2 linked regions of the Coturnix japonica genome follow. The protein of the gene in region 1 binds, or shares a complex with, the protein of each later gene. Links are inferred from orthologs where the notes say so. Each region holds a gene or a part of one and is shown on either strand. Other genes may lie near its edges.

Evidence for each region.
Region 2: the proteins of UBE2O (region 1) and NAP1L1 are in contact, whole or in part, in a cryo-EM structure (PDB 7UN6), measured with the Homo sapiens proteins. The link is inferred for Coturnix japonica from reciprocal best matches to the Homo sapiens genes UBE2O and NAP1L1. Residues at the interface, in NP_071349.3 of Homo sapiens: Ser225, Asn226, Val282, Lys283, Pro284, Val285, Lys289, Ser290, Lys291, Phe292, Arg293; in NP_001317160.1 of Homo sapiens: Arg333, Arg337, Thr343, Gly344, Glu345, Ala346, Ile347, Asp349.

What each region holds. Positions count from the first base shown.
Region 1 is NC_029533.1:3,800,153-3,812,952, forward strand, and holds the start of UBE2O ((E3-independent) E2 ubiquitin-conjugating enzyme), read left to right. Parts: upstream 1-4,803; 5' UTR 4,804-4,866; coding exon 4,867-5,256; intron 5,257-12,800. Other genes in the region: AANAT (serotonin N-acetyltransferase), read right to left, coding at 1-194, 280-434, 514-670. UniProt on the Homo sapiens protein: E2/E3 hybrid ubiquitin-protein ligase that displays both E2 and E3 ligase activities and mediates monoubiquitination of target proteins. Negatively regulates TRAF6-mediated NF-kappa-B activation independently of its E2 activity.
Region 2 is NC_029516.1:34,427,108-34,439,163, reverse strand, and holds part of NAP1L1 (nucleosome assembly protein 1-like 1), read left to right. Parts: intron 1-1,848; coding exon 1,849-1,951; intron 1,952-4,378; coding exon 4,379-4,520; intron 4,521-4,955; coding exon 4,956-5,036; intron 5,037-5,275; coding exon 5,276-5,404; intron 5,405-5,908; coding exon 5,909-5,980; intron 5,981-6,627; coding exon 6,628-6,767; intron 6,768-7,961; coding exon 7,962-8,107; intron 8,108-8,193; coding exon 8,194-8,213; intron 8,214-8,844; coding exon 8,845-8,967; intron 8,968-9,975; coding exon 9,976-10,008; intron 10,009-10,372; coding exon 10,373-10,423; intron 10,424-12,056. UniProt on the Homo sapiens protein: Histone chaperone that plays a role in the nuclear import of H2A-H2B and nucleosome assembly.

The sequences.
Region 1 (12,800 bases):
CATTTCTCATAGAAGGGCACGAGGAAATGTTCGCACATGAGCACGGCGCGCCGGGCGCAGGGCAGGCAGCGCAGGTACTGCAGGTACCGCCACATCAGGATGGAGCCCTTGCCCTGCTGTCGGAAGGTGCGATGCACGGCCAGCACATGGATGTGCACTGCTGTGCCCCGAGGCTTGTGCAGGGTCAGCGCTGCCTGTAAGGGAGGGAACGGGGCCATTAGTGGGGCCGTGCAGGGCAGCACGAGTCTCCACTCCACTTACCCTGTGCCCGGCTCCTACCTGGCTGAGCCTGTCCTGGTCCCATAGGGAGCCGATGATAAAAGCCACCAGGCGACCTTCCTCGAACCAGCCGAGAGAGAGCTCCGGGCACAGCGTCAGGAAGTGCCGGATCTCATCCAGGTGCAGCGGGCAGTCGCCGGAGACAGAGATGAAGGCTGGAAAGGGAACGGCGCTGAGCTCCCGGCTCTGACACCGGGCTGGGGTGGGATGGGGACGGGGCGGCTCTTTCCTTACCTTCCCTCTCGATCTCAAACACGCTGACGGCATCCTCGGGGCTGAGGCAGCGGAACTCGCTGGCGGGCAGTGTGTGCCGGCGTTGGCGGCCGGGGGAACTGCGGGGTCCCTGCGGGGGGGTGGGCTTCAGGAACGGCACCGCGCTGAGCATCGGCATCTTGTTCTGCTCCGTATGGGGCAGCTCTGTCAGCTCCGGGCCCCAGCAGTGTCACTGCACCCTTAATTTCGGCTTAATTTCAGCCAATCTCTTCCTGAGCTCTTAGCTGTCGAAAATACCTGTTGATTATGCATGGGATTAGGCTACCTGGCATCCTTTAGCTATATATACACGTGTGTGTATAGATACAGCAAATCCCCACCCACGGCAACCCTGCTGTCACCCCTGGGAGTTGGCACGAGCTGTGCACTGCTGCTGACCTCCAGTCCCATTGGGAAAGAGTTGGGGCTGAGCATCTTGTCCCTATCCAGGTCATAAAGGTGACATCAGTGCTGTGTATGCACCGGAGATGACCAGCCTGGAGCTGCGTCAGGGGATCAGGTTGGGGATTAAGGAAAGGTTCTGTATCAGTGGGTGCTGGTCATGGAGCAGATCCTCAGGGCAGCAGGCACGGCATTGAGCCACCAGAGCTCAGGGAGTGTTGGGACACTGCTCTCAGCTGTAGGGTTTGGGTGGTGCTGTGTGGGGTCTGGGCTTCCACTTAATGATCCATCCCTTCCATCTCAGGGTGTCCTGTGATTCTGTGTCATGCTTGTGCTGCTGGGGGTTTGTTTGCTTTCCCAGCTTGTTCAGGGGGTAAATGACACGGCTTAGCCCCTGGTGGGCACTTAAGTCATAGCCATGCTGGAAAGCCTGGCTGAGATGAGCCAGCAGGCAGGATGAGCTCATCTGCAGCTGCTCCAGTGCCTGTGGTCACAACCACCCCAAAGGCTGGGAGGTCCAGGGGTGTGCTGTCAGGGTGCCTTTGCTGAATAGATGTTAGATTGGACCCTGCAAATGCTTGTGTAGAAGCTTGCTCAGGAGAGCAGTTTTCCAGTGTTCCCTTGCAGGGAAAAGCAGAGCCCCAGCCTTGACCAAAGAGCCTTTATGGGTCCCACAGCCATACCCCAGGACAGTCCCTGCTGCTCTGTCCCATCCATCACCACCCGCCCTACACAGCTCAGCCAGATCCCTCTGCTTGGGTCAGATTCTGTGTCATAAATCCACCTCATGTTTCATGCCCGATCAAACCAAGTTAATAAACCCAGAGAGAAGTGCAACCCGAGCACCCCTGGCCTGCGGGCAGGAATAGTGGCAGCAGCTCCCAGCCAAGCGGGAGCCACGGGTCAGCCAATATTCAAAGCAATTCACAGCAAAGCCAGCATGGAGCCAGGTCAGTTCTGATTATTGTTCAAGAGGTGCCGGCTTTCCTTGCTAATTATAGGCTTGCCTCCAGCTAATAGGATTTATAGAAACAAAAGCATTACCAGCACAAGCGTTGCACAGGGCAGAGCCAAAGCAAGCTGGGAATTTTCCATCTGGAAAGGCTGAGAGCTGGGTGATGGAAGTGGTGAGATGGGGTGTTGCTGTGATTCCCTTTCAGTGAATCACTGGGTTAGCTGTGATGTGCTCTCTGGGCACAAAGGCTATCAGGGACAGGGGAAATATTTAGCATCCCTCGTGCCAGTTCTCATTGCCAAGGGGTAAGTGCAAGACTGGTGCTGGGAATGAGTGCTTTGTGCTCCCATAGATAGGATGGGAGTGAAACAAGACAGCACTGCAGGAATGGGGTGCTGTGATGTTTGTAGGATTCACAGCTCGGTGTCAGATCTGCTCATCCCCTGATTGCATCAGGGCTATGCAGCAGGCTGGGCTGGCTCAGACACCCCTTGTGCTTATAGAAACTTCTCAGCACCCCAACACAACAGTGTGAGAAGTGAGCAGGGTACAGCCTGCTCCCAGATCCTTCTCATTGAATCTTTTCCCCTCCAGCACTTGTGGCAGCTCAGGTCACACGGGCTGCTGGAGTTGTGTTTCTTTTTTGCTCAGCTCCTCAGCTCCCTGCACACACAAAGGTCTTTGGCATGCAGGGAACATGCACACTGAGATGGCTGCAGGTCAATGGGAGCACAGTGAGGATAACCAGAGTTAGGAGGAAACCCCTCTCCTCCCAGCTCTATCAACCCATCTCCCCAGCTCTAACACAGCCCCCTGCACGTTCTTATAGTTGTTTATACCCTGGGGTCTATTAAGCCTGTGGCTCCTTTCCACATCCCCATATGTCATGGTGCACAAATTAGCACACCAACTACACCCTGTCAAATTGTCCCCTCCTTTTGTGTTTGTGCATTATAGAACCCAAAGCACCTGCATGCAGAGATGCTCTCACCTCCAGAATCCAAGGCAAGTCAAGCTCAGTGTCCCAGCTCCCTCCCATCTAAGGGCTATTCCCCATAGCCCAGAACAACACAGTGACCCACAGCTCACCAGCCATCCCCAAAGCCACGGGGATCACCAGGTCCCAGAAACTCTGGGCTTACCGGCTGTGGGATGGGGATGGGGACGTGGTGCTGCTCCTCTTCACCCTGATCCTGTGACTCCTCGTGGCCGTGGGACAGCAGGGATGGGGCTGCAGGAACACACAGAGCCCGGCTTATATATTTGTTATTTATGGAGCACGTGATGAAGATCTAAGGGGTTTATAACCGTGATGAAAGACAGGAGAGGTGAGAGGCTTTAAGATGACGAGCAGGCAAAGGATCCCGTCAAGCAGCTGAGGCTGATTTCTTTACCCTGGCATGACTCCCTGCGGGGGGATAAAGCTGATTGAGCTGATTGCTGCGTGCTTGGGGTGAGCTGACAGGGAGAGCAGGGCTCAATCTCTGTTTGCTCCTACAGCTGAGGAGGGCCAATATCGCCGTGCAGCAGCACTCAGCATCTGCAGAGCAGCGCTCCTGGACGGGCTTTGCAGGGGGGACACGGTCTGTGCTGTCCCAGTTCGGGGTATCTGCAGCCTTATCTTTTGAAGACAATGCTGCCACTCCTGTTTTACACCTTGCTCTGACTCCGCTATAGGGATCCGTGCATTCCCCCTCCCTGCCGCCCATACACACACACTGTGCAGCACCGGGCAGCGCCCGCGCGATGGCAGCAGCGCTACACGCTCCGGAACCGGGACCAAAAGAAACCGGGTCACAGAAGCACAGAGTGACCCGGGTTGGAAGGGACCTTAAGGATCATGTAGTTCCAACCCCCTGCCTGGCAGGGCCACCAAACATACACCTTTACTAGATCAGGTTGCCCAGGGCCCCGTCCAACCTGGCCTTGAACACCTCCAAGGACGGGGCATCCACAACCTCCCTGGGCAGCCTGTTCCAGGGCCTCACCACTCTCCTAGTGAAGAACTTCCCCCTAACATCCAACCTAAATCTTCCCTCTTTTAACTTCAAACCATTTCCCCGTGTCCTGCTATTGTCAGCCCTTTCCAAGAGTTTAAGGGAAGAGTAAGTTCCCTTCAGGTATTGAAAGGCTGCAATGAGGTCACCCCGCAACCTTCTCTTCTCCAGGCTGAACAAACCCAACTCCCTCAGCCTGTCCTCATAGGGGAGGTGCTCCAGCCCCTGATCATCTTCCTGTCCCTCCTCTGGACCCTTTCCAAAATCTCCATGTCTTTCTTGTACTGAGGGCTCCACACCTGGACACGGTACAACAGATGGGGCCTCGCAAGAGCCGAGTAGAGAGGGACAATCACCTCCCTATCCCTGCTGACCACCCCTCTCCTGATGGAGCCCAGGATCCCATTTGCTTTCCATGCTGTCAGAGCGCACTGCTGGCTCATGTTGAGTCTCTGGTCCATCAGGACCCCCAGGTCCTTCTCTGCCGAGCTGCTCTCAAGGCCCAGCCTGTACAGGTAAATGGCTCTGAAGGGTTCGGTGGGTCCGGAGCAGAGCGTGGGATGGTTCTGAATGTGGATAGTGCTAGATACACTGCAGTTGGTGCTTGTTGAGCATATCTGTGTGTCATTAGCTACGTGCAATGGGGGGATGATGGGCAGCACGGCTGCCATAACAGCGCTTGGAAACCAGTCCGTGGAGATGTGAGGACACATCGCTTCACTTCTCCTCTCCTATGAGCCTCGGGCAGAGAGAGAGCCCATCTCACAAAGGGAAAAGCCGGGATATCCCGGAGCACAGAACACACCCCCACCCGACAGCCCTCCTCCCTCCTCTCTGCCCCTCCCACTGGATGGGCGTGGCCCTCCCCGCCAGCGTCGCCACGCACTGGGCGTGTCCCTTTAAGCCCCGCCCCCTGACGCACTACGTGCCCCTCCCCTCCCCCTCCGGTGCCGGCCGCGCTCTCCCGCTCGTCCCGGCGCCATGGCGGAGCTCCCCGCTGAGGCGGCTCCGGTTCCCTCCGCCCCGACCCCGCTCCCCGCTTTGCCTTTACCCCCTTCGGCTCCTCAGGGCGGTTCTCAGCGCCTTCTGTTCTCACACGACTTGGTGTCGGGTCGTTATCGCGGCTCGGTGAGGTTCGGCCTGGTTCGCCTCATTCACGGCGAAGATTCCGATTCAGAGGATGAAGAAACGACGACGGCACCGGGGGGAAGTGGAAGGGGAACAGGGGGAGCTGCCAGCTCGGGGGGGTCGGAATCGGGCGGCCCCGGGGCTGGAGGCACCGAGGAGGGCAGAGCCAGCCCGCTGCGACGGGGATACGTGAGGGTGCAGTGGTACCCGGAGGGAATCAAACAGCACGTCAAGGAGACCAAGGTGAGGCCGTGGGGGTCGAGCCCGGCTTGGGTTGGGGGGCTGCGGGATGTAGGGTGGGCCCTGAGTGCATGGAGATGCTGGGCTGGGCCTTGTATCCCTGTGTGGAGCCATTGGGGCTGTGTGAGAGGCCTGGGATGCGTGTGGAGGGATGCTTGTCTCACCATGCAGCATCCCTGCATATATATAGGGAGCTGGCAGTGCAGCAGTGGCTCTGCCCTTGTTTACGCCAGTGCTGGCTGGAGCTGTGTGTACACCTATGTCTTCCAGCTGTGTGAATGAGCCCCTCCGGCTCCATTCTGCAGGGCTGGGTGTTAGGAAGGGTTTCTATTCAGAACGAGCCATGAGGCAATGGAATGGGCTGCAGGGGAGTCACCATCCCTGGAGGTGCTTAAGGAATGAGTAGATGTCATGCTTAGGGACGCAGTGTGCAGGTAGGCGGCTGGAATGGATGATTTGAGTGATCTTGCTTCACCTTACTGAGTCTATTCTATGTCTCTGGGGCATCCCTGCTACCCAGCACTGAGCTGTGCACAGCCCGACGGCGCAGAGACAAAAGAGAAGGGCACTGTGATGGAGCACAAAGGGGCTGCCAGCCACGGGCGTTGTGCTGAGCGAGGCAGGAGGGAGGCACACACAGGAGGCACACACAGGGGCTGCTGGGCCCTCTCTGCTTTGACTTCTCCCAGCAGCTCAACATGCCAAGCAAGGAGGTGTGCGGTGGTCTATGGGGATGGGTAGGATGGTGAGCAGGATGAGCTATATTTAGGTGATAGTGTCATTAAACACGTGACCGGTTGGAGATAAGCAAAATGAAAACGGGCATCAGGGAGAGATATTGCTGTGTTGTGTGTTTCTACCTAAATAAAAAAAACCTTTTCTTTCCCTAAAGAAATCATGATTCGATCGCTGCGGCTTCTAGATACAAATTGTGTGTGCTGTAGCAGCACAGATTGGCCCAATGTGGGCTGTGTTTTCTGACATCCAAGGCCACCCCAGGATGGGGGAGCTAACATGGATTGAATCCCTAAGTGCTCGTTCTTTGGTGGCTGGATAGCTGTGCCCCTGTGCAGCATTAGGGAGGCCTGGGATGGGGTGGGGGGGATCAGAAGGCAGTTACATAAATAAAGGCTCTTCCTTTTTGTGGTCTTTGTGATATAGGCATCTCTGCACTCAGGTAATAGACCCCAGGGAGAAGTTTCTTAAGTGCTTTGAAGAATTCAGGTGTACTTACTGTATTGATTTTTCCATTTGAAAAGCTGCCCAACAACCAAATTGCCAGGCGTTGTGTACAAGCTGCTCTGCAGTGTGGGATTACTAAAAACAAACCTGACGCTGCTGGGAACACACAGGGCTTTGCCATTTTCGTGGTGGTAAGTGAAGTCCTTTGGCTGTCTGCTGACCCGGCCCCTTTGTGTTATGGCACCAGGTGAGCCTGATGTCTCTACCTGGGCTGAGGGGAGCAAACCATGGGCACCATGTGGTTGTCTTGGGTCTGAGGTTTGCTGGCTTGTGGCTGCTGTTCTCAGCTGTGTCTGCAGGTACATCTGGCTGCAGCTCTGACTTTCAAGTACCTTTGTCTGTGAGTTTATTTGATGTCTTCAGGAATGATAACCTGGCCTGGTGCAGCCAGACCATGGGTTGCAGAGGGCACTTGTTGCCATCCTAAAAGCTGCTCTGTGTACCCAAAACTGGGTTATGATCTGAGAGCTTTTCTGTGTTTTCTTTCAGCTACTGGGGGCAGGAATGATTTCTTTCTACTAGGGAATATGTGAGCTGATAGTGGTTACTGTTGCCTCTAGAAGCTGAATGCTTTTGTTCTCTCCTGTTGGAAGTGGAAGGCAGGCTGCTGCTTAAGCCCCACCACGCCATTCCTGATGTTAATAAGTAATAGAAGCTTTCTCTTGAGTTTGAGCTGATGTTTGGCCCACTGGCTCTTCCACCTGAACAAGGAGATTTTCCAAGTCTTTGGTTCTGATGGTCATTAGCAGCATCGTGACATTCACGTGAGTAAAAAGGAGCCAGGATTTCTCCTCTCTATCCTCCTTTCCTGCCTTCCTCGGCTGCTTTCCCAATTCAGAGCATAGGGAAATCATTGTTGCCAAGTAATGTAAAACCCAGACAGCCCTGGAAGGAAACACTTCCCTTTCCAGAGAGGTGTGCCAGCCATGTCCTGTCTGACCCCGGTCCTGTCACACAGAGAACCTGCAGAGCAGTTCTGGCTGCTAGAGCTTGTCTTCATGGTGCTGGATGGATGTGTTGCTTAGAAGTTACACTGCTAAGTGCTGGGGGCACCTGATGCTTTCTCTAATAAATGAGCAGAGGTTTGGACCCAGCTGAATTTTAACATCGGGGTTCCTCAGGTGTGGGTTATATTCCTTCCACACACTGAGCTGCCTTTGGGTTCTTTGCAGAAGTGCTTGACCAAGTTAGGTAGTAGTGAGTCTTGTAGGGAGCTTTAAAACAGGGCTACCTTCCTCCCTCTTCCTCTCACCTGGAAGCTTCACTGCTCTTCTCTGCCTTTCAATTTCCCAAAGCCTGTGCAAGGCAGATACGCCTCTTGTGCAGATGGGGGAAGCAGAAAGTGCAGGTGTTGTGTCTCAGCACCTTATCAGAAGGCCTTCAGCAGGGCAGGCTGCTGAATTCCTGCCCTGTGCTCTGCCTCGGGATGGAACTGCTTGCGGCAGCACCCAGGTGTGATGCTGTGTCCCAGCAGCACCTTCTGGTTTACATGGCAGCCTGTAGAGACCCCATGGGGTCTCTGGGGAGTATTTAGCTTCGGAACCACTTGGTTTGGATGGCTCTCAGTCTGTTCAGCATCATTTTTCTGCCCAGTTCAAACTGTCTGGGGCTCCCCAGGCACAAATCCCATGGCTGATCAGCTCACTAGCTGGAATTGTTCTGATGCTATCTCCTCTAGTCTGAATTCAACTCTGCTTCATCCCACACAGCCCTTCTGTTCCTTCTCAGCCTCCACTGCTGTGATTTCTTGACCTCAAACATTGAGATATGAATATCAGGTTGCAGGAGAACTTTCTGAAGCTGTTATTCCCACGTAAATTCAATATTTGCATGAATACTTGTCTGAATCCTGTCATGCAATCACTACTTTGACCTAAACTTAGGAGTCGTTTTCTTTCTATCCCATGGGAGAAGATGTTCCCATTCACTGAAGGTCTGTGCTTTCACCTCTCTGTCCCTTTGCAGCCACCACCAGCCCAGTGTGAGCACTCCAGACAGCAGACCTCACTGATGACCACCTTGCAACTGCAGAGAGCATAGAGAGCCTTAAAAACCTCTAAACCTGGGCAAGGTGTCCACGCATGGTGATGCACAACACTCAAGGTCCAGCAGGTGACCAAGGGCAGTTCTGCTGTGTGTGGGTGCAGCTCCTTCTGCAGAGCCAGCAGTAAATGCTGCTCAGTGCAGCACTCAGATTCCACACGCATAAACCAATAGCACTGGTTTGTATCCCTTGCGAAGCTGTATCCAACCCTCTTCTTGCATCTGATGTTTCAGTCAGTCTCCCAGGGGTGCTCTGAAACCACCTGACATCCGTAGCCATTAGAGATGGGAGGGAAGAAAGGGCTTACTGGAACTGCATCAAACAGGAGCCACGTCAGACAGTCCTGCCTGTGAGTGCTCACTACAAGGTCACGTACCCACAAGTTGTTTTTTTTTGCTTTATTTGATGCTTGCCAGATCGACTTGGGGATCATCATTAATATTTTACTGCAGAATGGACTCCTGCACAACATAAGTATGCGTTGTTACTGTATGGAGAGTTATTTTGTGTGCGTGCTGAGCTGATAATTTGGGAGCACAAGCGGCCACCTGGGCTCAGCAATTAATTAGTGCTCCTGCACCCCAGCCAGGAGTGTTACTGTTAAAATGGACAAAGCCTCCCCTTGAGCAGCCAGTTCTGTGGCTCACAGGTGTGCTGGGTTAGTTGGGAAAGGGAAAGAGACAGCTCAATTAGTGATGCTCTTAGGACTAGCACACAACCTGAGGTGCACTAAAACCTTCAGGAGGAATTGGTTGGATCCTGTGCCAGGCCTTGAGATACCTACATGAGAGTGAGTGAGGTGTTTTGCTGTGACTTTGTCATGAAGTTTTCTTTCATCTTTGCTGTGCAGCTCCAGCAGAGGCTTCTGCAGGGACCTGGCTGTAAGTGACTCTGTGAAGTTGCTTTTGTTTTGGCTAAAGTCCTGTGTTGAAGTTAAGTGGCACAAGCTTGCAGGGTGGTTTTTGGGACAAGGTCTTGCTTATGCCAGCTGTCCTCAGCTCCCTCCTCAGAGCAAAGACACTATTTTTACTGCTCAGCATCTGCGTTGGTGCTGGAAGATAACTGGCATTTGTGAAGCTCAGAACTTCATCTCTTGTGACTGTTTTAATTGCTTGTGGGATTTCAGGGGCTCAGAAGGCGTTAACACCTTCCTGAATGCTCCCTGGGAGGAACCTGCCTCGTTGTTTGTGCACTCCTTACCTCCCACCATCAGCATCAAACCAGTGCTCTGAGCTGAAGCTTCTCCACTTGCTTGGTAGGAGGATGCTAAGTGTGTCCTGGAACAAAAAAAAGCCTGCAGGGAGGCTTTGTGGTGGCACTGGGGCTTTTTTCCATGCACTTTCCATTTTCCCTTAACGGTGAGGTCATTGGGCTTGACGGAATGAAAGCAGCTCTTGATAGAAGGTGTCTCAGTGCTTACCTCCTGTATGGGAAAGGTAAAGGGAGCCCAGTGGGAGGGCTGAGGGCTGAGCAGGCAGAGGAGGGCCCAGGTGGAAACTGGAAACCAGGCAGGAATCTTCCATGTATGCTGGTGTAGGTGGAAGCTAGGATATGCTCCTTGTTGATGCATCTGGACTCTGGTATCAAATTGCCTTGGATATATGCTTGTACAGGGAAAAGATAGGTGGTGCTACGTTGGTTCTCTGCCCTTTGTGGTGTAGGCTTTGACTCCACTTTATGGAGAGAAAAGAGGTGAACAGCTGCAGCCCTGCTCCCCCTGACTGCATGGCATGTGTGCTGGGATCAGTGGGTAAGGTCTTAAAAATGAGCCATCTGTATCTTTATACACTGTGATTTCTTTTCTTTTTGGGAGTTGCAAAGCTCTTTTCCTATTCCTCAGCAGCTGATGCTGGAGCTCCTGGTGAGCGGATGGGCAGCACTGTTGCTGCTATGGGAGGTGAGGGCAGAGATGTGCAGGTCAGGAAAGGTGGGTGCTGTGTTTTGAAGCTTCCAGACAAGGAGCAATTGAATTCACAGCTCCGTTTGCATTTACAGCAGCATCCTTTCAAAGCCTATTGCTGGGCTGAGGAAGAGCTGGGCAGCTCTGCCCTCACTGTTAGGCAGCCTTCATTTTGTAGCATAAAATTGCAGTGGTGTGCCATGTGGTGCTGCACTCAGCACAGCTCCAACACAGTGATGCGTTCAGCTGCTGGAGGGAGAGTGCTGCTGAACCGGAGGGGATGGGAGCTGAAGGCTTCTAACAGCAGTTTGGAGCCCAAAGATGGGACTTGCATGCACATCACTCCTGTCTCCTGTCTGTGGCTGAGCATTCTGCTTAATGTGAAGTACACTGATGATAGAGCTGGAATTAGTTCCATCACAGCCGATTTAGGTTTCTTTACTTATTTTGGAAAGGATACAACAGCAGGAATAAAAGAATTTTGCATACGAATCACTTTTGTTTCAAGAAACAGCCCTGCTCCTCTGCTGATAAGGATACTTAGGAAGTAGCGTTTTTAATCTTCCAAGTGTTTCCTGGTGTTGATGTGGCAGTGCCTTGGCAAGGTGACAAACCTTCCCCACAGGTGACTCCAGGTAACACCTACATCATCAGTGCTGCTGGGCCCTGACCTTGCTTTGCTGGTGCTGTGGTCGTGCCTTCTCCATTTGGCCTTTTCTGAGCAGAGCTGTATGGGTGGTGGGAAAACCTTTGACGTTCCTCGGTGTAATTACAGACTGTGTCTATTGAGACAAATAATTCTCACTCCAAACTGTAATGCATGGCTTATTCCGAATGTGGAAAATGGAACGCTTGGAAACTGGTTGGCATTTTATATACCTTTCTATTGAGGGACTCAGGCTTGATTTGTTTCCTCAGATGTGTGAAGTGGTGGGTAACCTAGTGGCTTTGGAGTTAATTTAGGTATAAATGCTGTAAGGATTTTGCAGGGAAGCAATGCAGCCAGAAAGTGCTGGATCCACAGTGAAACTGTTGACTGCAGCTGTGCTGGTGCAGGCATAGAACCTGAGCAGCACAGATCAGAGGCACCTTTATACTTTCCTTACCCAGCTTCACTCCACAGCTGCACTAAACCATCCCCTGCCTTCCCTGCTGCTCAGAGGGGAGTTCTGCTCACTGCTGCACTGACTGTGCTGCCTTTCTGGCTGCTCCCCCAATATCTGGCTTTTCAGAAGTGCACAGGAAGCACTGCCCAATAGTTTTGCTCTGATCAGATTTCCAGCAGGGCCCAACGCTGCAGTCATCCCTTGGCTTTGCTCTTCGGACCGCTGTGGAAGATGGAAGTTGTTTTTCCCTGGAAGGTAGGATGCACATCCCATCCAAGTGAAGAGTTCTCATGGCTATTGCAAGAAATATTCGTGCTTCTGTTCAGCATTCGAGTCCAAGTTCCTTGAAACACTATTAGAATTGAGGCAAAATAGCCACGTTTTCTAAATTTAGAATTACTACACGGTTGTGTAACTGGCTGTAAATGAAGCAGCTCTTCAAAATGATTGTTCTGTCCTTAAGTCAAGCAGCTTCTGTCCAAAGCCTTTCTATCCTCGTGCCCCAGGATGCCTGCAGGGCTGAGCTGTGGAAATTCCCATGCAGAAGTACCATCTCCTCTTAGTGAATGGTCCACAGAGAGGAGATGGAAGCAGAAAAGCAGGGCTGGAGGGAGGGGGGGAATCTGTCCTCCTTGGAAAACTTCTGGGTTTAATGTTGTTGTTGTTGAAGTCTGCAGATGTGGATGATTCATTTGCTTTCCTGTCAGAGCAGGCTGAGCTGCATTGTGGTGTTCCAGAGCTTGGGAAGCTCTTCCTAATGAGGTGTGGTGGTATAGGATGTTTCCTCCTCGAGGTGTATTTAATGCAGCGTGGGAGCGATGAACATAAACCCCGTGTTATTCTGACCATGGAAGCTTTCTGAACTGCAACAAACCTCACAGGACGTTCCGGGCTGCTTCCCAGACTGTGCACAGACAGACTGCATGTTCCTGAAACATAAGAGAAGAGAACACCTTGCAGGATTACCCAGCAGTAAAAGTGACGCCGTGCAGGAAATACCAGAACCTGATACCTGGATTCCTGGATTTACAAAATAAAGAATCCTGAAGTTTCTGTTGAGCACAGCAGCTGATGCTTTTATCCCCTGCTGGTTCTGTATGTTCTCACTGTGCAAGTTGGACAGTAAGATTCAGTCACTGCCTGTCCCCCAGGCACATGGGGCTGTGCTGGCCTTTGCCACTCTTACATGGGGCTGAAAGCTTCTTCCTCTGTTGAGTTCTGTGTGCTGGTGGGGGTTGTTCTATTCCATGGCAGA
Region 2 (12,056 bases), on another chromosome or scaffold:
ACTACCGATACATGACTCTGTTTGAATTCTGAAGCAATGGGTTTTTTCAGTTTTGTGATTTCTGTTGTCTCAGTTGCATTTTAGTCATTGTCAGTAACGGTGCAAGCAGTGCTGGCCACCTATACGAGCATATAACTGGAAAAGAGAAGATCGTTATCGGATGGTTTGGAATCTAATGGCAGTTAAACGCTTTCCAAAAAAAAAAATCAATTGCATATATGTATTATTTTGATCTTTTCTTAGTAATTGGCTGCTAAATTGTTTGAGAGCAGAATTAAAGTGTTGTTGCTGATCTTATAAATAATAAATCCTTCATCCTTCCCCTGAAGAGCAAGTACTCGAAAGAGAAAAAACCATTTGTTAGGAGATGATGATAGTCTGGATCATTGATAATACCCCTTTCCATGATTGCTCAAGCAGAATAGTAACACTAAAACAGTTTTCTTCAGGATTAGGTTTAGGGCTTTGTATCTGCTGAAAGTGCTTTCAAAACTGGATTGCAAAACTTTGAATAACACAGGGTGGCTAAAGAAAAGCTTTCACTAATTAAATGGTAAGTACTCAAGTGTCCCAAAGGAATCTAGAGATGAGTAATGTGTATTTTTAGTAATTAATCCCAGCAATTGTATGTGAGGATCTGAGGGGAGTAATTACACTATATGAGTCTTGGAGAGAAGTTGGGTTTTGTAAGTAAGAAGCATGTTTCAGTGTTAGGGAACTTAAATGACTTGCAAAATGATGTTATCAAGCAGTTATTTTGCTAGTTTTCTAGTAATTTTTTTTGTATGCATAGAATAATATTCATGTGGTTACTCTAGCAAAGGGCTTAGAAATAGAGAATCAAATGCCAAAAAAATGTAACTTAGAGTCATAGAACGATAGAATTATCCAGGCTGGAAAAGACCTTGAAGATCATCAAGTCCAACCGCAGCCTATCCAGTACCCTAACTCTAAAAGCCCTCCACTAAATCATATCCCTGAGTACCACATCCAAACGGCTCTTAAACACAACCAGGGATGGCAATTCAACCACCTCCCTGGGGAGCCTATTCCAGTACCTAACTACCCTTTTTTTGTTTGTGTATCTGAAAATGTTGAGGATGAAGGTAGAAGCAAAACATGATTATAAATGATTATGAATTCTAATTAAAGATGAATTTAAGTTGCTTTCTGCAGGCTACTGAGGTGTGGACTTTGAGCTGAAATGCAAAGGTTGATGTTAATTTGGGCAATGGAAATACTTAGGCTAGCAATTTGTGTTTTCCAAAATGTATTTCTACCACATGATTTGAAACAAATTTACTGTTTTGGGCAAATTACATTTGGAATATGTAGATAATAGAGATCAAGAATTTAGCACTGATGTTCTGTAATCAAGAATATGTCAGGCTGAGCTGACTGGATTGCTTTGCTGTTCGTTTTGGTGGTGGTGGGTGGGGGGGAAGTAGCTCTAATGAGCAATTATTATTTTTCAAGACAAAAGTATATAAGCATAGACTTGTAAACCAGTTCAGTACCCAGGTCTGAAGCAGTCTTGTTTATCTAAAATGGAATGAAAATTGCAACTTTTGTTTGTATTGTTTGTAGTAAGGGGGCATGGTTTAGTGGGAGGGTATTGGTGGTAGGTGGATGGTTGGACTGGATGATCTTGGAGATCTTTTCCAACCTCTGTGATTCTGTGTGATCAGCACATCTGAAATGGAGACACTTTAAAAAAAAAATTCTGCCTGTGTTTCTTCTTAGAATAACAGGAAATTCACTTCATATTTTTTCTTAGTATTTAGATCTCTTTCAAGCCTTGTCTAGAAGATATGCTCTGCACTTACAGAATTTTCATTTTAATTTTAGCTCGACAGTTGACTGTGCAGATGATGCAAAATCCTCAGATTCTTGCAGCTCTTCAGGAAAGACTTGATGGTCTGGTAGGAACATCTACAGGATATATAGAGAGGTAAAATGTTTGTTCTAATTCAGTATGAGGAGAGTGATATAAATGTGCTTTTGCTTCCTGAACAATATTGTCTTTAAGATTAATCATAAACCACTGCTCTGCCTAGGTAGCAGGAAAGTAATATAATCAGGAATTGACGCATTTCAAAACTGAAGGCTTTCTGTTTGAGCCTTTTTGAAGTAAAAAATGCAGAAATATTTAGTGGCAGATAATGTCACGTGCAATTGCAAAATGTCATTCTGTCCTGCTTTTATCAGTATGTTCCTTATCATGACATCATGCGGCAAGCTGCTGGGCGCAGATTCAGCACTGCATTGCGGAGCTGTATTTCCTGGTTCACTATAGCAGTCTCATGTGAGTTTTTACACTCCAAGGGGAAGATACTGAGATGTACTGCATTTTCCCAAGGGCCTCCACATGATTTCCAACTCTTGGTGATGAGGAAGAACTCTCTTGTCTTTTCTAGGAGGACAGCCGTGAGGTTCTGCTGATAAGGACTCTGATTCTCTCTCTCCTCTAGTTTTATTTTTTTGTTTGATTTACTGCTCTTAGTTATTCTGTATTATCTCATGCTCCTTTTAATAAATTTGTTTCTCTTATCTCAATCAGATTTTTTTTCCCCTCTTCCTCCCTCTGCATTTTGCCCAAGGGGAGGGAGAGGTGTCACGTGGTTAACTCTTCAAACCATAACACATAGGCACAGATATTTTCCCAGAATGTTTTCTCAGCTTTGCTTTAATTTGAAACATGGGCAAGTACGTGGTCACTTGTGGTCATACTGTAACCACAAATTGGGAATGTTGTATCAATACTTAATGTAGTCTCCTTATACAATTTGAAACAATCTGTTGCTTACTAAAGTTTTCTTTACTGCATCTGCTATAACAGATTTATCTATCTCCTTTGTGTAATTTCTAATTGTGTGAACTTCTGACCATATGCACAAGTTGTAAAGCACAGAACTATCTGACTGTGATAGGATCCTGTGTTGCTATTGATGTTATCTGAGATGGCTACTGAATGACTGGATTTGCTGCTGCTACTCCTACCACTTTCCTGTATTACAGGCAGTAGCATAGAAGAAAATACAGGCAACTAATAGCCTACCCTAATAACTACAGGCCCAGGAAGAGCATGGAGTCAAAGGAGTACATAGGTTCTCTACACTGTTCTATATGCTGTACACTAAGGCTTTCTATATCTAATATGTTGATTTTTTGACAGTTATTAATTCATCTCTCCTAATCTTTCAAGTCCTAGCTGTAAGAAGTGAACAGAAGTCCTACTTCTGTTTACTTGGCATTTTCCCCTGTCAGCTGCTCTTGGAGATACTGCATCATTTCTTCATCTATTCTAAGTCTATAGTTCTTTTTCTTGCAAAGCATTGCAGCTTTACCATTAATATCAAGTGCTTGCCAAACTTACAATAGAAATAATAGCTGGAAAATGTGTAACTTTCCTCTGTGATTCCTTAACATATACATGCTGATTTAAGCATGCTTTACAGGGACCTCTTACATGTCTTATCAAATATCCTACTTAAGTGGGGGCTGGTGGCATTAGTAATTAATACGAACTTGCAGTATTTAGTTAATACCTTCTTGGTTGCTTCCACTAACCTGAAGCTGGTCCTAACAGTTTTTCACTTTTTTGCAGCTGTTTGCCATTGTGCTCTTAATGATGTGACCCAGTTCCTTAAATAAAGAAGGTTAACATGGTAATCTGCTGTAGCTATATGCTGGGGACTGGCTCACATCATCAGTGATAGAGGCTGTCACCAGTCTACCCTATGAATTTCACTAACAGTGCAGGTTAATTTCTGCCCCAGCTCTAACTTTGTTAGTGTGGTCTTCTACAAGTCAGATACAACTTTAATCAAAGTTTCACAACAGCTTATAATGAAGGCTGCACTAATTGTTTGCCTGTAATATGTATATAATATGGTTTTGGCTTATTCTGGGAGACTGTTAAGGGACAGCAGTGATAGCTTCATTCCTGAATAAACAAAAATAATGGTTGTGAAGCTTGACTTCCTTAGTGAAGTAATAACTCAATTGTCTTGAATGTTCATAAAAACAAACAAGTAGTTAGCTCATCCTTGATTGTGCTCCATGTTAGCAATTTGCCATGCTGCTTGGTGGTAAGGTAAAACTTGCTGTCAGTGTGAAGCTTTACACAAGTTTGCGTATTCAGAGACTTGACTTTTTTTTTTATTCTAAGTCAGGTTATACCTGTTTTAAGAGTCTGTGTTAAGTTTATTCCACATGGTACAGTGGGTCGTAACTTTGACTTTTTTTGCAGTTTTCTAGTGTTTAAAGCAGTGTGAAATCCATTTTGATATGTGTTGGTGAAAGGAGCTGGTTAATGAGAGGTCAACATGTGCATAGAATGCAATGTTCGTAACAGTTCTGTCACTGTATTTTTCAGCTTGCCTAAAGTTGTTAAAAGACGTGTGAATGCTCTCAAGAATCTTCAAGTTCAGTGTGCACAGATAGAAGCAAAGTTCTATGAGGAAGTTCATGAGCTGGAAAGAAAATACGCTGCTCTCTATCAGCCCTTATTTGACAAGGTATTTTAATGCTTTTCTTATTTGTATTTAAAAGCTTTAGTTAAACCAAAAGGGAATATAAACTGAAGCTTATTTATGTGTTCTGAATTACCTTGGTCTCTAATGTGCCCATTCAGCTGAATTTACACTATTTTGCTGTCCATGTGACTATCAGCTAAGATGAAGTGTTGTCTATTCCATGGCTAACAAAGTCACCTTAGTATATTAGGCCTCATCGTATTAACTGAGCAGATGTTAGGTTATGTGGTAACCGTTCTTGCATGTTGGTTCTTCAGTGTATTGAAACACTGGTAACTGCTGAATCTTTCTAGAGCAAGAAATTGTTTGGTTAAGTAGACAGTACTTTGTGATAGCAGAATCAGCAATTTATTGGTTAGAGTACGGCTAATTGCAATAACTAGAACATATGAAAGTATCCTTGGTTCAATTTTTCAGCGAAGCGAGATCATCAATGCAATCTATGAACCTACAGAGGAAGAATGTGAATGGAAAGCAGATACTGAAGAAGAGATTTCAGTGAGTATCATAATCAATTCTTATCAATATTCCCACCTTTAGCATGAAATTAGATTCAATAGAGTAAATACATTTTTCTCAGAAGGAGAATTTTCTTAATGATTGGCTGTGTATTATTAATTGCATCCTTAAATCACATGCATGAAACTTCATGTGCACTATAATCAGCTGAAGATGGTTAAACTTGATGGAGGATGGTTTTTAAAGCTTAGAGAAACTAACATTTTTATTCTATCAAGGAGGAAATGAAAGAGAAAGCCAAGATTGAAGAAGAAAAAAAAGATGAAGAAAAAGAAGACCCTAAAGGAATTCCTGAATTTTGGCTGACGGTATTTAAGAATGTGGACTTGCTCAGTGATATGGTTCAGGTAGGTAGTAGTCCAGATTGCTTTGATGTTGCTTTAGTATTTAATCCAAATGTGCTCTACCAGGAAAGAGAAGGAATGGTTATAGTACTCGATGTCTTTTAGAGAGTAAAAATTAAGCTGGCACTTGGATGTTATCTGGTCACTTATTCTACTCAGAGCACAGAGCACACTGAAATATCTTATTTTGTTCTTACTTGTTGAAGTTGTAACTTTACACAGAAAGTCCATTAGTAAGATATATATATAGAAATGTTTGCATGAAATATGTACTAGCACTGAAATTTGTATTTAGTTTGCATGAGATTTAAGCTGTGAACCACAGTGAAAATTGAGCTGCTGTTATTGCCATCTGCTGGTTGTATTCGTGGAAGAAAGTGTTTCAGTGCTTGGACAAGGTTCTTGATGAGATTCACTGGTTCTTCTAAATACACCTTTTTATCTCTGTGTCTTAAATCTGTGTACAATTTAACCTTATGAAAATTTCATTAACTTTTCTATTTACAGGAACACGATGAACCTATCCTGAAACACTTAAAAGATATAAAAGTGAAGTTTTCAGATGTTGGACAGCCTATGGTTAGTTTAACCTTTTAAACAAGTTTTTCTGTGTTATCTGAAGGCTTGTATTTGTATATTGATAACACCATCTGTAATAAGCAGTTGTCTTAAGGCAATCCTGAGAAACGCATGGCTAGTTTCTTGTCCCCTGAAGAGCAGTACAAAGACTAATCCTGAAGTACTGTATGAATGAATTACACTTAATTTAACTTTCAGATTCTATTGAGTTAATAACTTGACCATAGTATTTGATTACTTGGTTTTATCTTTATATTTTGACAGTTTGAGGCACTTTTTGTATAGCTACTATAAAAGAATATCATTTCATTTCTAGAGACCAAGTAACTTACAAAGATATATTTGTTTTATCTCTATAACGTAGCACCAGGAAATCTGTACATAATGTGAAGTCTTGTGCTCATTTCTTAATATACTGCTTGAATCAATGACACAAGGTCAGCATAGTAAAAGTAAACATCTGAATACTGACTGTTCAATTTAGGCAGCAAATTCTTGGATAAGTTGTGCATGCACCACTTCAGTGTTGGTAGAGATGGATATGTTCATTTGCATGTTTGTTTTTGATTTTGATCTTCAAGTATTTAGAAATTAAAGGTATGTTTTGCTAGACTGCTTATGTTGTCTCTTTGCAATTCTTTCTTAAGAGCTTTGCATTAGAATTTCACTTTGAACCAAATGACTACTTCACAAATGAAGTGTTGACAAAGACATATAGAATGAGATCAGAGCCAGATGATTCTGATCCCTTTTCCTTTGATGGACCGGAAATCATGGGCTGTACAGGGTAAGTGCTGCTGAATAGCCATAAGATAATATAACTGTTTCTTCCGTATTATCCAAGTGTAAGCTTTTAGTTACCTAGTGACTTGGAAATAGCTAGGCTCAAGTTTGAGGTTAAAACTTAACTGTTTTGAAAACTGTTATAACTTCATATTAGTTTGAAACATTGAGGACTCTCTTCCTCATGTATCCACCTAGTGTTACTTTCAGTTTGTTGTCATGTAATATATACATATAAGAACTATATACTGTGTGATCTAAACATTGATGCAATTTATAAGTACATAGATAGTATCTATATATGCATACAGTCAAATTTAATACACTTTGTAAGTTGTGTTCTGCAGCAACTGAAGCTGGGTAGTATTTAGTGGGCCTTGATAGCTTTTTAAAAACCTTATTTGATCACATTTTGGAAGCCTTTTATATTTCTGACATTCAGTTATTTGAGAAGGCAAGTCCGTTTTTATGTTCTGTATTGCTGTTGTCCAGTTTATAATAGTTGAATGTTTGCCTCTCTGAGCATCTTTCAGTTAATCTATTTGAGAAGTAGAGAACAGTTATATCTAATTCTAGTTTTCTCGTGATTTTGAAGTTGTCACATTTGGTGGTCTCTTCTGTTCTAAATTAGCTATAATTCCTTAGCTGGTTTTACCCATGCACTACTGTGCACTTACTGATACTGACTGATGCTTGCTCTTTCATTTCCCAGTCACATAATGTAATACATTGCTACAAAAGTCCTGTAGGAATTAGTCTGCTTGAGTACAATAGATCAAACTGTATTGTCTCCCATAATTTGGACTGTTACTGAAAAGCATGTCTCCTGGCAGAGATCCCTGTGAGATGACTCTGCCTTTATGAACATGGTTTATGCAAAGCAATGACTGGGAGTGTTAAGACAGCAGCTTTTTACCCTTAAACATCTCACCTCTTTCCTTTGAATCTATAAAGGATCTAGTCAAGAAACTTCTTCAGCCTTATTTTTGTGACTTCGTTTACATTTACCCCAGAATACTTTGTGAGTGTCAGTCAAGTCTGTGGTTAAGATTCTTTTTTTTTTTTTTTTTCCTCTGCAAACAGCAAATAACCTTGATATTTCATGTTCAGTATATTTCTTAAAACTGGGATAGCCTCTCTAAATACTGGTAGCGATAGCAGATATTCTAAGCTACAACTTCTTTTCGTTCTTCCCCAGCTGCCAAATAGACTGGAAAAAAGGAAAGAATGTTACTTTGAAAACAATTAAAAAGAAGCAGAAGCACAAGGGTCGTGGAACAGTTAGAACAGTGACAAAAACTGTTTCCAATGATTCCTTCTTCAACTTCTTTACTCCCCCTGAAGGTAAACAAAATCTTTGTGTATTTGCATTAACATTAAATGTTGTATATAATTCATTCACTTGTTTTCTTCTTTTTTTTCCTTCACAGTTCCTGAAAGTGGAGAACTGGTAAGTTGTCTTATTGGAAGTTAAGAGTTTGGGGGTGAGGGAATTGCCAGTGAAAGGCAGTTGTGTACAATGTGCTTTCTGGGATTTGTTTGGGAATTTAAATTGTTTCAGTTTTAACTTGGGAGTATTTGTGATGAATAGTTTTTCTTTGGTAGAAGGATGGCAAAGTTCATTTCACTTTAATAGTGTTTTGTGACTTAGAGCATTTTTCAGGTGTGCAAGAGCTTTACATTGGGTTGATTAATAAGAATTGTGAAGATGCTTACTTAGAAAGCTTCACCTGGTTAGTATTTAGTTCTCAATGCTGTGCATGCAAAGTGAAAATCTAGGGATAATACTATGTTTAAGAAGAAAAATAGTTTTAAGTGACTATGTAGAGGAAGAAGGAAATTTAAACTCCAAAGCTTTGTATGGCTAAGTTTGCTGAAGCAGCAAACCCTGAACTCTATAATGTGCGGAAATGCTTGAAGTATAAAACTTGATCTCATAATCTCAATTCTATAATTGTCCTGAACCAAAAACTGATGGGGATTTGTGTAAATCTGGCAATGTCAATATTTGTGCAACTTGTGTTTTGGTGTCAAATGTAGTTACCAACTTATGGTTTAGAACATAAAATTGTTTTATGCAGGACGATGATGCTGAGGCAATCCTTGCTGCAGACTTTGAAATAGGTCATTTCTTACGTGAACGTATAGTCCCCCGATCAGTATTGTACTTCACAGGAGAAGCTATTGAAGATGATGATGATGATGTAAGTAATGTTCTTTTGGAGTGTTAAAAGCCTCTATAGAAAGTTGCTTAAAGTTTTTTGTTAACTTCTGACTCCTATAGTTACTGTTAGTATCCTTAGAGTTGGAGGTATCAGCATCAGTTTATGGTGGATTTCCTAGGATATTAATTACCTTCATGCTGCTCCTTATTTAACCTTCCAAGTACTGAATTCAGAGTTCTGTGGCAAAAGCACTGATTGGTGACCACTTAGAGTGATGTCTGAATAAAAGTGTGTGTACAAGTCATTCCCAGAGTGATGTGCACAATGCTTTGATAGAAAAATGAGCTGCCAGAAAACAAATTAGTCCACATATGTAGCTGGTCAGCCTGTTCATTATACTTGCATGGCTACTGAGTTCTTGAAGTTCAGGTTTGATCATTTCAGGAGAGCTCTCTTTAGAAAATGGGAGATAAATTCATTCTAAGCTTGCAAACTTCTTTTCAAAACATGTTCTTCAGAAGCTTGAATTCAATACATTAAAGATGCTAAAGCTGAAAAACAAACTGCAAAACCCAAGAACTATAAAGTACTTTTTTTCCTCTGTCTCCTCACAAGTTAGGATTGCTTGACAAATGTAGCAAATCTATTGAGTTGATTTAGCTAAGCTAAGTCCAGTTTAGAATGTGGAATAGTAACCTTTAGTCCAGAACTGTGGCAGTCGATGGGTAGAAGACAGAAGTGACTGTATGGACTGCTTTATACTTCAAGACACTTTGTTGGACAGATATATTACCATTTAAATAATCTCTTCCAGTGTTGCACATAAGGAATGCAAGGCAGGAAGTGCTCTCTGCCAGAGCATAGTTTGAGATTGAATGTTTTTCATGCTGATTCATAGAGCTATTTCTAATCTGTCAAATATAGGATGTTCTCTTAAAGCATAGTACCATGTGTATGGCTCCTGGCATCAACTTCAGTTATCTTGAATGAACTAATGCCTGTAATGACTATGTTTATGACAGTCAAAACTATTTATTTCTTTCCTAGTATGATGAAGAAGGTGAAGAGGCAGATGACGAGGTAAGTTGACAGATTGTCTTGATTTAAATAGCTTCCCTCCTGTAGTCTGCATGGAGTAAGTTCCTCTAGTTTATAAATGCTGTAAAAGCTAAGTTTAAGTTGTACATATGAATGTGAGATGCAACAGCTTGTTGTATTCTGTGATCTGGAGTGAATATTTAATTGCAAACAATATAACAGAAGTAATACTACAAATCAAATTGAAACTGATGTCAAAAGATGTGCTTTGTAGATGGCCCACAGTATGCATTAATTGAAGTGACAGTGAAAGTATTTTGGAGTGGAACTTTCAGTGTTCTTGAGGATGGTTTGGGAAGCTGATTGTGGATAAGTTAGTGAAATATAAACAACTGTTGTCTTTCAGGAGGGGGAAGAAGAAGCAGATGAAGAAAATGATCCTGATTATGACCCAAAAGTAAGAAATTAAAAGAATATTTCAATGTGCACATGCGTTCATATTCCTGATATTTAATGAAGGCGAAACATCAAGTTTTAGTTGAAGTATTTAGTAGCTCTTACAGTAAGTGTTTTTTGGCTGAAACTGTTTTAGTTCCAGATTGTTTTTTTTTTTTTATCAACTTGTCTTAAAGCAAGTTTCTGGTTTAGTTCAGTGGTATAAGCGTTCTATAGTAGTAATCAGAAGAGTACAAGTAATAAATACTCAGGTTTGGGGAACTTGCCACAGTTTGGTTCTTGTACTTTGTTGGAGTGTTATTTCTTGAGGCAGCAGATGTCAAGCCTCAGGAATGCATCTACAGCCAAGAACTTGAATGTGGGCAACTAAGAGCAACGTGCAGCTTTGTTTCATGTTTAATGGTCAGAGCAAATGAGTAGTTAAGCTCAGTTCGCTGGAGAAGTGATTGTGAGCAACTAAGTCCTTAGCTTTCTATTAGCTGAGGGAAATACATCCTTAAGTAAGATTAAGCCATAGTCAGAAAGTGAAGCTGTCGAAGTTGAAAGTGTGCTGCAAAGTATCTTTCCCATTTTTAATCTGGAGGCAGTATATTTTTCAGTAGCAACATTTTGATCTAAAAGAAGTAGTACCATAATTCTAGTGTTGTCCTGGAAAAGATGTGGGCTATGGAACTGCTAATAACAACGTATGACTTCTTGGGGGTGTTTCCTCTGCAGTATGGTATTCCAGTTGTTCAAGAAAGTTCTGGAATCAAAATGAAACAGCTGCAAATTGGGTTTATGATTTCCACCACTTCAGTTGTTTTTGCAAGTTAAATGACTGAGGGCAAGATCATATGCTCAGTTTCAGAGAGGCAGACAATAGCGGTACTACAGTGCTTTGAAAAGAATTGATAATCATAAGTTAATTACAGACTAGAAACTAGATAAACTTATGAAAGCACTGCAGTCTGAGAATAGTGGAACAAAACTTGCAGTTTTCACCCTCAAAGGCCTTTTCCATAAATTCCCATGTTACTGTGAGGTATTGTTGATTGCCTGCTTCAATACAGAGCAGTTGGTAATATCTACTTGGAAATTTTCTAGCAACTAGAATTTATTTCAAAACAAATCTTTCCAGAGTGTTAAGAACATACCTTGACTTGTTTCATTGCACTGCTGTACACTGGTTCTGAAGTAAGGCTGAGCCCTTGTCAATCAAAATGAAGGCTGTGTGGTTTTCACAGAATCACAGAATTACCCGGGTTGGAAGGGACCTCAAGGATCATGTAGTTCCAACCCCCCTGCCTAGCAGGGCCACCAAACATACACCTTTACTAGATCAGGTTGCTCAGGGCCCCGTCCAACCTGGCCTTGAACACCTCCAAGGACGGGGCATCCACAACCTCCCTGGGCAGCCTGTTCCAGGACCTAACCACTCTTCTAGTAAAGAACTTTCCCCTAACATCCAACCTAAATCTTCCCTCTTTTAACTTAAAACCATTTCCCCTAGTCCTGCTATTATCAGCCCTTTCGAAGAGTTTACTCCCCTCCTGGGAGGAGGGGATTATTAAGGAGGTTTTATTTTGTATCAAACTGTTTAGAAGGTGTGGTTGCCTCTGTGCCAGTGATTGATACTGATTATTATTGCCCTT